Diceros bicornis minor: one gene and its partners. The protein of the gene in region 1 binds, or shares a complex with, the protein of each later gene. Links are inferred from orthologs where the notes say so. Each region holds a gene or a part of one and is shown in the gene's direction. Other genes may lie near its edges. The genes, in order: CUL3, KCTD5 and KLHL42.

Evidence for each region.
Region 2: the proteins of CUL3 (region 1) and KCTD5 are in contact, whole or in part, in a cryo-EM structure (PDB 8U83), measured with the Homo sapiens proteins. The link is inferred for Diceros bicornis minor from reciprocal best matches to the Homo sapiens genes CUL3 and KCTD5. Residues at the interface, in NP_003581.1 of Homo sapiens: Thr24, Met25, Asp26, Glu27, Lys28, Tyr29, Val30, Asn31, Ser32, Ile33, Trp34, Asp35, Leu36, Leu37, Asn39, Ala40, Glu43, Asn48, Ser50, Leu52, Ser53, Glu55, Glu56, Leu57, Arg59, Asn60, Ala61, Tyr62, Thr63, Met64; in NP_061865.1 of Homo sapiens: Trp45, Phe55, Leu56, Thr58, Thr61, Arg64, Asp65, Lys67, Ser68, Pro96, Thr97, Tyr98, Phe99, Gly100, Pro101, Leu103, Asn104, Tyr105, Leu106, Arg107, His108, Gly109, Lys110, Leu111, Val112, Ile113, Asn114, Lys115, Leu117, Val122.
Region 3: CUL3 (region 1) and KLHL42 share a complex: the UniProt entries of both Homo sapiens proteins name them as parts of the BCR(KLHL42) E3 ubiquitin ligase complex. The link is inferred for Diceros bicornis minor from reciprocal best matches to the Homo sapiens genes CUL3 and KLHL42.

Annotation. Positions count from the first base shown.
Region 1 is NC_080776.1:14,113,282-14,117,025, reverse strand, and holds the start of CUL3 (cullin-3), read left to right. Parts: upstream 1-1,485; 5' UTR 1,486-1,885; coding exon 1,886-1,951; intron 1,952-3,744. UniProt on the Homo sapiens protein: Core component of multiple cullin-RING-based BCR (BTB-CUL3-RBX1) E3 ubiquitin-protein ligase complexes which mediate the ubiquitination and subsequent proteasomal degradation of target proteins.
Region 2 is NC_080765.1:45,803,997-45,807,740, reverse strand, and holds the start of KCTD5 (BTB/POZ domain-containing protein KCTD5), read left to right. Parts: upstream 1-1,329; 5' UTR 1,330-1,344; coding exon 1,345-1,596; intron 1,597-3,744. UniProt on the Homo sapiens protein: Its interaction with CUL3 suggests that it may act as a substrate adapter in some E3 ligase complex. Does not affect the function of Kv channel Kv2.1/KCNB1, Kv1.2/KCNA2, Kv4.2/KCND2 and Kv3.4/KCNC4.
Region 3 is NC_080756.1:35,317,370-35,321,113, reverse strand, and holds the start of KLHL42 (kelch-like protein 42), read left to right. Parts: upstream 1-857; 5' UTR 858-1,019; coding exon 1,020-1,891; intron 1,892-3,744. UniProt on the Homo sapiens protein: Substrate-specific adapter of a BCR (BTB-CUL3-RBX1) E3 ubiquitin-protein ligase complex required for mitotic progression and cytokinesis. The BCR(KLHL42) E3 ubiquitin ligase complex mediates the ubiquitination and subsequent degradation of KATNA1.

The DNA of each region.
Region 1 (3,744 bases):
CAAATAAAACAGACGATTTCAGTTTACTTATTTTAAAAAAGTACAAAACCCCCCAGCTTCCAAGTGCTATAAAAAAGTATTAAAACTCAAGTTTAAAAAAAGTATTAAAATTGGGGCCTGCCCCATGGCCTAGTGGTTAGGTTCCCCTCAGATCCCCAGGCCGGACCCACACCACTGGTCAGCCATGTTGTGGCAGCAAACCACACACAAAATAGAGGAAGATTGGCACAGATGTTAGCTCAGGGCAATCTTCCCCAAGGAAAAAGAAGACTGGCAACAGATGTTAGCTCATTGTGAATCTTCCTCAGCAAAAAAAAAAAAAAAAAAAAAGTATTAAAATAAATAATAGCTCTCAAATGTAGATACCCATCTTATTTAGAAGTTCACAAACTTAACTGGGAACTCACATATTCCTCTGCAGAGTCAGAAATCCAAATAGAGCAAAGAGGTAAATTAGGAAGTAAAATTCATAATAAATAGAAAGCAAAATGAATGAATCAAACTAGACCTTTTGACTACAATGACAGAAAAAAAATTCCCAAATTTTTAGCAAAGTGGAATCAAAGACAATTTTGGCTTTCAAAATCTATGGTACTCTTGGTAATAGTAAAAATGATTTGGCAGGTTAAAGATAGGTTTCTATCAGCCTATCTTCTATTTAACACCATTTACCAAAATATTGCACTACATAAAAGGCATTGTCATTTCATTTCAATGGTAACGAAAAACAGATTTTTAACACTAATAAGTCCTGGGTCCCTCAGAAAGTATCAACGAATCAAGAAGTCCTGAAGCGTCTGCAGTTTAAGGAAATTTTGTGGATTAACATCTCCACCCCTCAGTCCTAAAAGGTGGGGTGTGCACATCCAATCCGAATACCCGGCATACAGGACCCTAATTTCTGACACTGCAGGTAACTCCAGCACCAACTCTTCTCTCAACTTTCTGGCTTCTGCTCAAATACCCATCCCTAGTCCACATGCCCTAGAAAAACACAGGAACCAGTTCTGGATGGTTATCCATCTCGCACCCCACGCCCGCCCCGACACTACCCTCGCGACCCAGGCCAGCCGGACCCAGCCCACTACAGTCCCGCTCCGGCTCTCAGAACTTCCCCCGCCCACTCCATCCACGTGACCAAGACCCCCACCCCCGCCCCGCGCTCCACCAATCAGCAACCTCCTCCGCCCACAGCCGGTCTCCAGCGCTCCCCTTTCAAAAAGGCAGTTTACTCCGCCCGCCCTCGGCCCCGCCCCTTTCCCACCTCCCCGCCCCGCGGGTCCCTCCCACTTCCCCGGCTCCCGGTTCCCTCCCTCCCCTCCCGTTGTCCCCTCCCGCTCCCCGGCTTCGCCCCGCCCCGCCCGGGGCCGCGCGCTCGCCCTCTTCTCGCGAGATCGGAGCGTCCCCGCCGCGGCCGCCCGCCTCCCCTCCCGTCCTCCCACCCCCCCTTCCCCCAATCTCTCCACTCTACGGCTCTTCTCCCTCCCTCCTCCCCCCTCCACCCTCTGGGCCGGATCTCGTCTCGCTGAGGCGGAGGAGGAGAAGGAGGAGGAGGAGGACGTTCGGCCTGCGCAGTGAGATGTTTGTCCGTCGCCGCCGCCGCCGCCATCGCGGAGCAGCGCGATAAAGGGAGCCGAGCCGGGCGCGAGGGGGACGCCGCGGAGCCGCCGCGCCAGCGCAGCCCCCAGCCGAGCCCGCGCCGCCGGAGCCCGCGCCGCCGCCGCCCCCGCCGCGGCCGCCCAGGGCCGGCCAGCCGCCCAGCCCAGCCCGGGGGCCGCGCCGCCGCCGCCCCCCGCGTCGCCCCCCGCCCGCCCGCCCGCCTTAGATGTGACACCGGCGCCTCGGAGTGCGACCCGAAGCCGCCGCCGGGGAGGGGACGAGCACCATGTCGAATCTGAGCAAAGGCACGGGCAGCCGGAAGGACACCAAGATGCGGATCCGGGCCTTTCCGGTGAGTCCCCGCTCGGCGCCGGGGACCCCGGGGCCGGGGGCCCGGCCGAGAGCCGCACGCGAGGCCCGGGCTGAACTCCCCCAACAGGCCGCAGGCCCGGCCTCCCCTCCCCCACGCCGCCGGCCGCGGGGCGCGAGCCTCCCGGCAACGGGGCGCCGCGGGCCGGGCCTCCTGGGCCGTTCCCAGCGCCCCCGCCGCGGAGCGGCGCCGCCGGCCGGGCCCCCTCGCCGGTCCCGCGGCCCCGGGCGCCGGCCCGGTGCCGGGCGCCGGGTTCCGGGATCCCGGCCCTGCCGCGATGGGGACGGGCGAAGTCCTTGTGTGGGGCGCGTGTGTAACTTTTCACGTGTGGTTTCGCTGCGGGTGAGAAAAGAAGCCAGCCGAAGAGACGGCCAGCCAGACCTTTAGAATGATGGAGGGCACTGTCCTCTCCCTCTCCTCCCCCGTCGGGGAGGGTTGTGCCATCCGCCTACCCCCGGCGCGGTGACAGTGGTTCCACGTAGTGCTGTATAGTAATGTACCAGTAACATGGGTGTATTTATAGCATCTCTCATCCACAGGCTTCAGAGCACTTTACCAACTCTCATGGGCAGAAACTGCCTTGCCACTCAAGGGGAAGCCAGAGAGAACAAATTGGACAATTGGTTCTTTATTTCTTAGCCATGGAAGCCCAAAGAACGAGGAGTCACCATCCTGAGTTGCTTTACCGTCTAGGTTTTAGTGACAGCAGACGTTTTCTGTTTAGAAACTTTCTTTTTTAGCATTACGTTGACTCATATGCTTGTGGCGTTGAGTATATAGGGTATAACTTCGGGTGTCATATCTGAATCGAATAGCCAATGACAAGCATTAAAATGTGCTGTTGTAACAGAGAAACTAGGCGTATTTGCTCGTGTCGCTACAGTAACAGGCATACGTCAGGACAGACAAACCAGCAGTTGAACAGAAAATTTTAAAACAGCAAAGCTAGAGAAAGATCTTGGGTTTCCTTGCTTAAAATCATAAACATAAAGTGTGAGGGAGGAAGAGGCAGTTTGTACTCACTTTTTTAAGCGTGCTTTTTGTAAAGTGTAGTTTGCAGTGAGGAAAGACTTATTAGTGTAGTTATTCTAGTTGAGTAGGAAACCGACCCACTGAACTTGAGGACCTCTGTGAATTTTTAAAACTTAAAAGACCTGATGCAGACACCTGATGCAGAATTTTGAAATTGTGGTAGCGTAAATACTAATGTCGATGTGTAGAAACTTTTAGTTTTATGTAAGTAAAGCTAGGGTATACTCAGGAGAATTAAGTATTTTGATACTGATGAAAGGGATTTTGAATTTTTTTCTTAAGTAAATGTGAGAAACTACAAAGAAAATGAGAAATGTTGACAAAAGAGCACTAATGACGTTCACTAGCACGTTTTCCCTTAAAATGGAACAAAAGCTGGGTTTGTGAATTTTCGAGTAATGTTCGTTTTCCTACTAAATCAGTTCTGACCATTTTTAGCAGAATTTTAGTTGTATACAACAAATTTTCTAGGAAAAGCTTTCTACTCTTACAGTCTGAGTTCTAATTCAGATTTATTACTAAAATGTGGAATAGCTCACATTTGACATCAACTCACTTATGTCAATATTCTGATTAACCAGTTATACCTTTATCTATGTGTGATTAACCCTTTGATCTCTTTAGGTTTGCTTGTTCCTATCTGTTCTCCCATTCTTTCATTCATTCAACAAAGATGGAGTACTGTGTGCCAGGCGCTGTTGTGGGAGCTTGGGATATATCAGTATAGCTTGAAAGACCCAGAT
Region 2 (3,744 bases), on another chromosome or scaffold:
GGGTTTGAGGCGGCCTACAGGGCAAGTGCCTTAAATCAGGGCAAGAGGCACTCCCAGAGCCTCTGAGGGGCGCAGGCTGCTGGCCCATGATTGCGAGGTTGTAAATCAGGCTGCCTGTGGAGAGTGGGTCTGGAGGGGAAGCCGGTCCAGCAAAGAGCAGTTTTATCTGTAGCTCAGACAGCCGTGGTGGGCAGCTGAATGAGCCTACGTGTATACCTGAATTTTCCCCATAACTCATTTCTTCAATATGAAGAAACACCAAACTTTGTGTACAGAGAACTTTTTACAAAGGCAAACCTTTTTTAGCTGTGTAATCCACCCTGGTCTAACGGTCTGGCTGAATGAATAGGGGTCATTTTGCTGGTGAAAAGCCTCTATCATGATCAGAAGTTTGATTGGACCTTGGCAAATTAAATTCTTGCAGTATTTAGAGCTGCTGCAGCTGTTCCTTAACACAAAATAGGATGAATCAATAAATAGTATGTTAGCTGTCTTTCAGGTTGGTGGCAGGCAGTGAGAACATGTGTAATATTCTCTACCTGGTCTGTAGCTGTAACTGTGATGTACAGGCAAAGCAAAAATTTTAAAAAACTTATGAAAACAAATAATGCAATGATATTAGGATATACACTTTTGTATTTTTATTCTTATATAAGGTTATTTGCTGGCTCTTGTTGGCCTCTAGTTCAGTCTGTGTTATTTAAAATCTAATATATGAATTATTTGGATTGAATTCATGTTCGGGGCCACGTTGTTGTATGTATTGATGTACAGCCTTGAATGTGAATAATTATTGTAAACTATATTTTACAACTTTTTTTCTGGCTTTATTATATAAATTTTCTATTTGGTCAATGATTTAATCATATCATAATTTAATGAATCTGTTTATTCTCTTTTTTTCAAATATTTGTGCTTTAGATGTAGTTACCGGATGATGAATTTTCCACGTATGCTCGGTAGTCTTGTAATAAAAAAGCATGTAGAGTGTAGACGCTCGCTGGTACCGCAGCTCTTCCTTTCGCCGGGGCTGCGGGGCGGGCGTGGTCGCGACTTGGGTTCTGGGCCGGGAACCGGCCGTCCGCGCGCCGCACGCGCGGGGCGGAGGCTGCCGAGCGCTTCTCCACTCGGTCGCCGGTCCCCGCGCTGCTCGCCCGCGTGGGCGCCCTGGGACCACGCCGTGGCCGGCCCGGGCCGGAAGGGGGCACGGCCGGCCGCTTTTCCGGACCGGAACTTCCGCCTCTTGCGTGACGCCGGCCGCGTGGGCGGGACAGAGCTCGAAGGACTATATTAAAGACCGGACGCTTCCGGTGGAGGGGAGCTGTGGCGGTGCTTGCTGGGATCATGGCGGAGAATCACTGCGAGCTGCTGCCGCCGGCCCCGGGCTGCTTCGGGGCGGGGCTGGGGGGCGGCCTGTGCCCCCGCTGCAGCGCGGGGCTCGGCGCGCTGGCCCAGCGGCCTGGCGGCGTGTCCAAGTGGGTCCGGCTGAATGTCGGCGGCACCTACTTCCTCACCACCCGTCAGACGCTGTGCCGGGACCCGAAATCCTTCCTGTACCGTCTGTGCCAGGCCGACCCCGACCTGGACTCGGACAAGGTGAGGGCCACGCGGGCCGGCCACGAGAGTCTGGGCCCTGCCCGCGCTGGGGAGACCGTCCCGCCACAGTTCGGCCCGAGCCCCCGACTCCCTGCCTGGGCCGGGGACGGAGGGGATGGCGCCCTGGCGCCCACTGCCTTCGGGGATCCCCGGCCACGCCACCTCGAGGCGTCTCTGTCTCGTCCTCTCTGCTCTGTGGCGGAGGAGGCTACCCAGACCCCGGACTTTTTTGTGAGTCTGCTTTCTTCTCCTCCCTCGACTCTTTGGCCCCTGGTGTGTGCACACCTTCTCCTCTCCGCGCCGGGGTACTTAGTGGTTCTGGAGTCGCGGAACCCTGGCGCTGTTCTCGTCTGTTCACATTCCGGGCGGTTGACTTACCGTTGGCGTGGGGGGGTTTCACGGGTGGCCTGCCTTTGCCAGTGACTTGCATTTAGAGAGTTGGCGCTCCACCGTCTTCAGCCACAACACTCAGCGCTCTCAGAGGGTGCCATCCATAGAATGATTGTTCAAAGGGAATGCTGCTCATATTAAGGGGTGGCTTAGGGGTGTCAAGGAAGGGCCAGGGGGGAAATCTTTTTCAGTCTGCTTTCTAATTAATTAGCCTAGTTTTCCGACTGCCCTGGCAAAAGGATAGGAATTTCTAGGTTAGTTTGCAGCTTGTCTTTCATCAAGTTTAATGTTCACACTGTTGTACGGGTGGTAATAGAAACTATTTTGGTGATTACCTTTACTTTACAAGACCTGTGTGACCGAGGAAGAGTATCTCAGGCACTGAACAGGATTGAAACTCAGGGAAGGCGTTGTTGGAAAAAGCTATTACTATATTTGTCTTGGGCAATTCACAAGTGTTATTCTAACTTGCCAGGGTCTTTCAGTTGAGCCTGCATAATTGCACTTGGCCTTGTGCCTTGCCACCCCAACATTTGCCAGACATAAGGCTTCCCAGAAAGATTCAGATCTCTCTTCAAGTTCGAGAACCCTGACGGAGACCATCCTCCCTGTGGCATGACCTTATGATCAGGAAATGAGAATTCTTGAGTTACCACAAAACCACCCATCATGGGTAGGAATCAGGGTTTGAGATGCCAGCGCTCTGGTCCCCTGGTGCCGCCGCCCACCCCCCTCAGCTATTTCCATTGCTCATTTGTCTGAGCTCTCCACTCTTAGAGGATTGACCTCCCAGAAAATGACAGTCTTCTCCAGGATAGAAATAGGCTTTTGTCAGTTGTGATTTTTCTTTTATAGTGTGGGTCTATGTTTTACTGTTTTGTTTTTCTTTTTAAACAGAGTCTTAGGGGTCATTCACTTGTATTTCTACTGAAGCGTTCCTGTTTTGTATATTGAGTCAGGTTTTAAATTGTTCTTGTCCGTTGGGTTGTTTGTTTTGAGGCAATGGCTGTCGATTCACCACTGAAACAATTAATACAGAGCCGATAAGCTGTAGCTTGCGCAGTTAAGTCGATTCATCCCTTTATTTTACTGTCTCAGGACTACTTAAAAAATTATGCTTTACTGTAATAGGAGTTCTTTGGGAGAGGGTAATTAATCTATCACAATATATTTATGTTGTAGTTTCTTTTTTTTATCAGCATCCACTTAAATATATTTGATTTCTGAATTGTAAAACTGAAATTTAGATACGGTTTCTGTCTCATAAAATAGTTGATAGTAAATAAGGGTTAATTTTAGTCACAGATAATGTGGATTTGCCAGAAAGAGTAATGCTAATTTGCATTAGTCATGGTAGCGTTTTACTTCAAATGAGAAAATGTAAAAGATACTCGGTCTTCTCAGTTTTTTCCCCCCTTGTTTCTGATAAAAGAATGTCCCAGTGGGGCCGGCCCAGTGGTGCAAGCGGTTAAGTGCGCGTGCTCTGCTGGGGCGGCCCGGGGTTCGCCGGTTCAGATCCCGGGCGCGCACCGACGCGCTGCTTGTCGAGCCGTGCTGTGTTGGCGTCCCATATAAAGTGGAGGAAGATGGGCACAGATGTTAGCTCAGGGCCAGTCTTCCTCAGCAAAAAAGAGGAGGATTGGCATCAGATGTTAGCTCAGGGCTGATCTTCCTCACGCACACAAAAAATGAATGTCCCAGAGATTCACTCCTAGATAGTTAAACCCTGAGTGAGGAGCCTGAGGGTGAGGCTGGAGA
Region 3 (3,744 bases), on another chromosome or scaffold:
GCAAAAGCGGCCAGACCTTCTGCCCCAAAATAACATTCCGTAATGGCTAGCCCAACCAAACTGAAACAGGGAAAGCAATGGCTGTTAGAAAATATTTGAAAAGAAGGCACGTGGTCTAATTTTATTTAGTCAAGTTGTCCTTCTGACTTTCTTTTAATAGCACAAAGAGGATAACAGGCCCCAACAGCAAATACCAGCTCCTGTGCTTCCCAACTCTTCTCATCGGGTGCACCCCATGCGCTGAGCCCTGCAGAACCTACTGCCATCTGGCTGGACCTTCTTTCTGCAAGATGGCTCCTACACAATGACCATGCCGAAGAATCACCTCTGGGTGCCACCTGCATGTCCAGAGACGGCCAGTGTGCCTCAGCCCCCTGGGACACGAAGCCCGACTGGGCCAGATGGGCGATCCCAGATGTGATGTGTTTTTGACTCCCCGGACCCCAGACTCCCTTCATCCTCCCACAGCTGCCCCCGCCCCCAGCAAAAGGCAGCGTGGAAGAAAAAGCAGACTGGCTTCCTCTCGCCTCCTGTCCCCCGCGATCATCGCTGCAGACCCCGCCAGGCTGCAGAGCCGCTGCGCCGGAGGCCGGCAGCCTCCCAGCCTCCCCGAGCGCGGGAGCCGGCGCGCGGGTCCGGCGGGCGGCAGGGGTCCCGCGGGCGGAAGCGGGAAGCGCGGCGGGGGAGGAGGCTGCAGGCCGGGGGCTGGGATCCCCTCCCCGGCTGACGCGGCCCGCGAGAACCCGAGCGGGGACGGCGGCCGCCTCCCGACGCCCGGCGCGCGGGCGGGCCTTTTTTGGCGCTGAGGGAGAGCAGCCGGGCAGGGCCGCCGCCCCCGGGCCCGGGAGGAGGGGCTGCCTCGGGGGCGCCGCCGCGGCCCCGAGCCGCGGCCTCCGCCTGCCTCCTCCTCCCGCCGCCCTCCCTCGGCGCGCCCAACCCGGAACCCGGCGAGCGCGTGGGGGCGGGGAGGCGAGCGCGCAGAGCTGGCGGGCAGCCCCGCGGCCCGCGGCCCCCCAGCCATGTCGGCCGAGGAGATGGTGCAGATCCGCCTGGAGGACCGCTGCTACCCGGTGAGCAAGAGGAAGCTCATCGAGCAGAGCGACTACTTCCGCGCGCTCTACCGCTCCGGCATGCGCGAGGCCCTGAGCCAGGAGGCCGGCGGCCCCGAGGTGCAGCAGCTGCGCGGCCTCAGCGCCCCGGGCCTGCGCCTGGTGCTGGACTTCATCAACGCCGGCGGGGCCCGCGAAGGCTGGCTCCTGGGCCCGCGCGGGGACAAGGGCGGCGGGGTGGAGGAGGAGGAGGAGATGGACGAGGTGAGCCTGCTGTCCGAGCTGGTGGAAGCGGCCTCCTTCCTGCAGGTCACGTCCCTGCTGCAGCTGCTGCTGTCCCAGGTGCGGCTCACCAACTGCCTGGAGATGTACCGCCTGGCGCAGGTGTACGGGCTGCCCGACCTGCAGGAGGCCTGCCTGCGCTTCATGGTCGTCCACTTCCACGAGGTGCTCTGCAAGCCCCACTTCCACCTCCTGGGGGCTTCTCCCCAAGCTCCGGGGGATGTCAGCCTGAAGCAGAGGCTGAGAGAGGCCCGGATGACTGGGACTCCTGTCCTTGTGGCCCTAGGGGATTTCTTGGGGGGACCCTTGGCCCCTCACCCCTACCAGGGGGAGCCCCCGTCCATGCTCAGGTATGAGGAGATGACTGAACGTTGGTTCCCGCTGGCCAACAACCTTCCCCCCGACCTGGTGAATGTCAGGGGTTACGGGTCCGCCATCCTGGACAACTACCTCTTCATAGTGGGCGGGTACAGGATCACTAGCCAGGAGATCGCCGCCGCGCATTCCTACAACCCCAGCACCAACGAGTGGCTCCAGGTGGCCTCCATGAACCAGAAGAGGTAAGCCCCCAGCAGAGCGCTGGTTCTTTCTCATTCATTCACTTGTTCATTAACTCGTTCGCCTAATGTTTACTGAGCAATCGCAGGAGGTTGTGCTGAGGAGGGAATGACGTCTTCAGGAGTGTGGCTGGCCTCCACTCTGGCAAAGTTCCCAGTGAACTAAGAACTTGCAAGGAAGAAGAGGCCCCAGTGAGGTCAACTAGCTGAGTAGGCGCCTTGCAGGTATCTCGCCATCAGGCAAACTACTTTCTTTGCCTCTATCCCAGTGGAAAAAAAGATGTTGTGGTTTCCTAAAAGGATACTTAAAACTGTTCTTTAATTTTGCTTTTATTTTCACCTTTTTTATTTTTTAGGATCTGATCCTGATAATAATGACACACTGGGCAGTAACCTGTAACACTGACTTTGGGGGATTTTTTTGTTGTTAATGGCTTTGAAGCCTTCCACACCGGGTCACCCATCTGTCATCGGGACATAGTCGTTAGAATTGTATGAATACTAGCTATATAGGATTGCCTTTCTTATGTTTTATCCTCTATTTTGCATCTCTCTTCTTTCTGAGCCAGTCATTGTCATTGACCCAAAGCTTGAGCCTGGCGGTGATCACTTACAGAATTAGAAAATTTCCATCCACCCTAACCTTCTCCCTTCCCGTCCTGCAAATTCCTCCTAACATGAACTTGCATGACTTCAAGAAAGGGAGAGAAAAGAAGGAGATTGGGGGTGGGGTGGGGTAGGGAAAGGAGCCAGGAAAGGGAGAACGAGAGCACAGAGCAGATGCAGGAGGAGGTGGTAGGAAGTTAAGACGGTAGGGCCCAAGACGGCCCAGAGCCATTCACAAGTGGAGAGAAGAATCACTGTCACCCAAGAAACGACAAGAATACCCCTTCTTCTGGTCCACCTGTATCCGTCTCCAGGCCCGCCATGCTCCCTGGCCTGGAGTGTGGAGCAAGGAGTGGGGACACTCACCACCAGGCAAAGACAGTCTTCACAGGAACAGGAAGGCCATTATGCATACTATTTACTTGACTTGAGGGTCCCCCCAGGCCAGGGGGGAACACTGGCTTTATTTCTACTAGAATATGAAATCATTTTGGAAAGTGTTCTTTTTTTGTTTGTGTGTGAGGAAGACCAGCCCTGAGCTACCACTCGATGCCAATCCTCCTCTTTTTGCTGAGGAAGATTGGCCCTGGGCTAACATCCGTGTCCATCTTCCTTCACTTTATATGGGACGCCGCCACAGCATGGCCTGACAAGTGGTGCGTCGGTGCAGCACCCAGGATCCACACCCCGGATCCGAACCAACAAACCCTTGGGCCTCGGAAGCAGAGCGTGAGCACTTAACTGCTGCATCACCAGGCCGGCCGCTAGTGTTCTTTTTTTTTTTGATGATTAAAAATAGTACATAGTTATTCTAGAAAACTGAAAAAAATGGAAAAGAAGCAGAAAGACTATCAGTCTTATTCCCTCCTTCCTAGAGGCATTAACCACCTACAGGTTGGCATATTTTCTTCCAGGCCCTTTTTAGTGCATTATTTACACTGTTGAGATGATGCCATATTTCAATTTTGATATCAGAAGTGTTATTTTTAAATAAACTCTAGGAGCTTTAATTGAAGCAATAAAGGAACGTTCAGCAGTTATGGGTGGTGCTCAGATTGGGTGTGAAGGCCCAGCAGGTTGTCTGTCACCTCTACACACGTCTCCAGCCGTATCAATTGGTGCTCAACACGCCACCCCTACCTCCAGGACTGGAACACGACACCTCACAGATTTCTTTTCTTTCTTCACAAATCCTTGGTAGTCTTTTTTTTCATTCTAGGAAAGCCTTTTCTGTCCTCTTTGGATAAAAC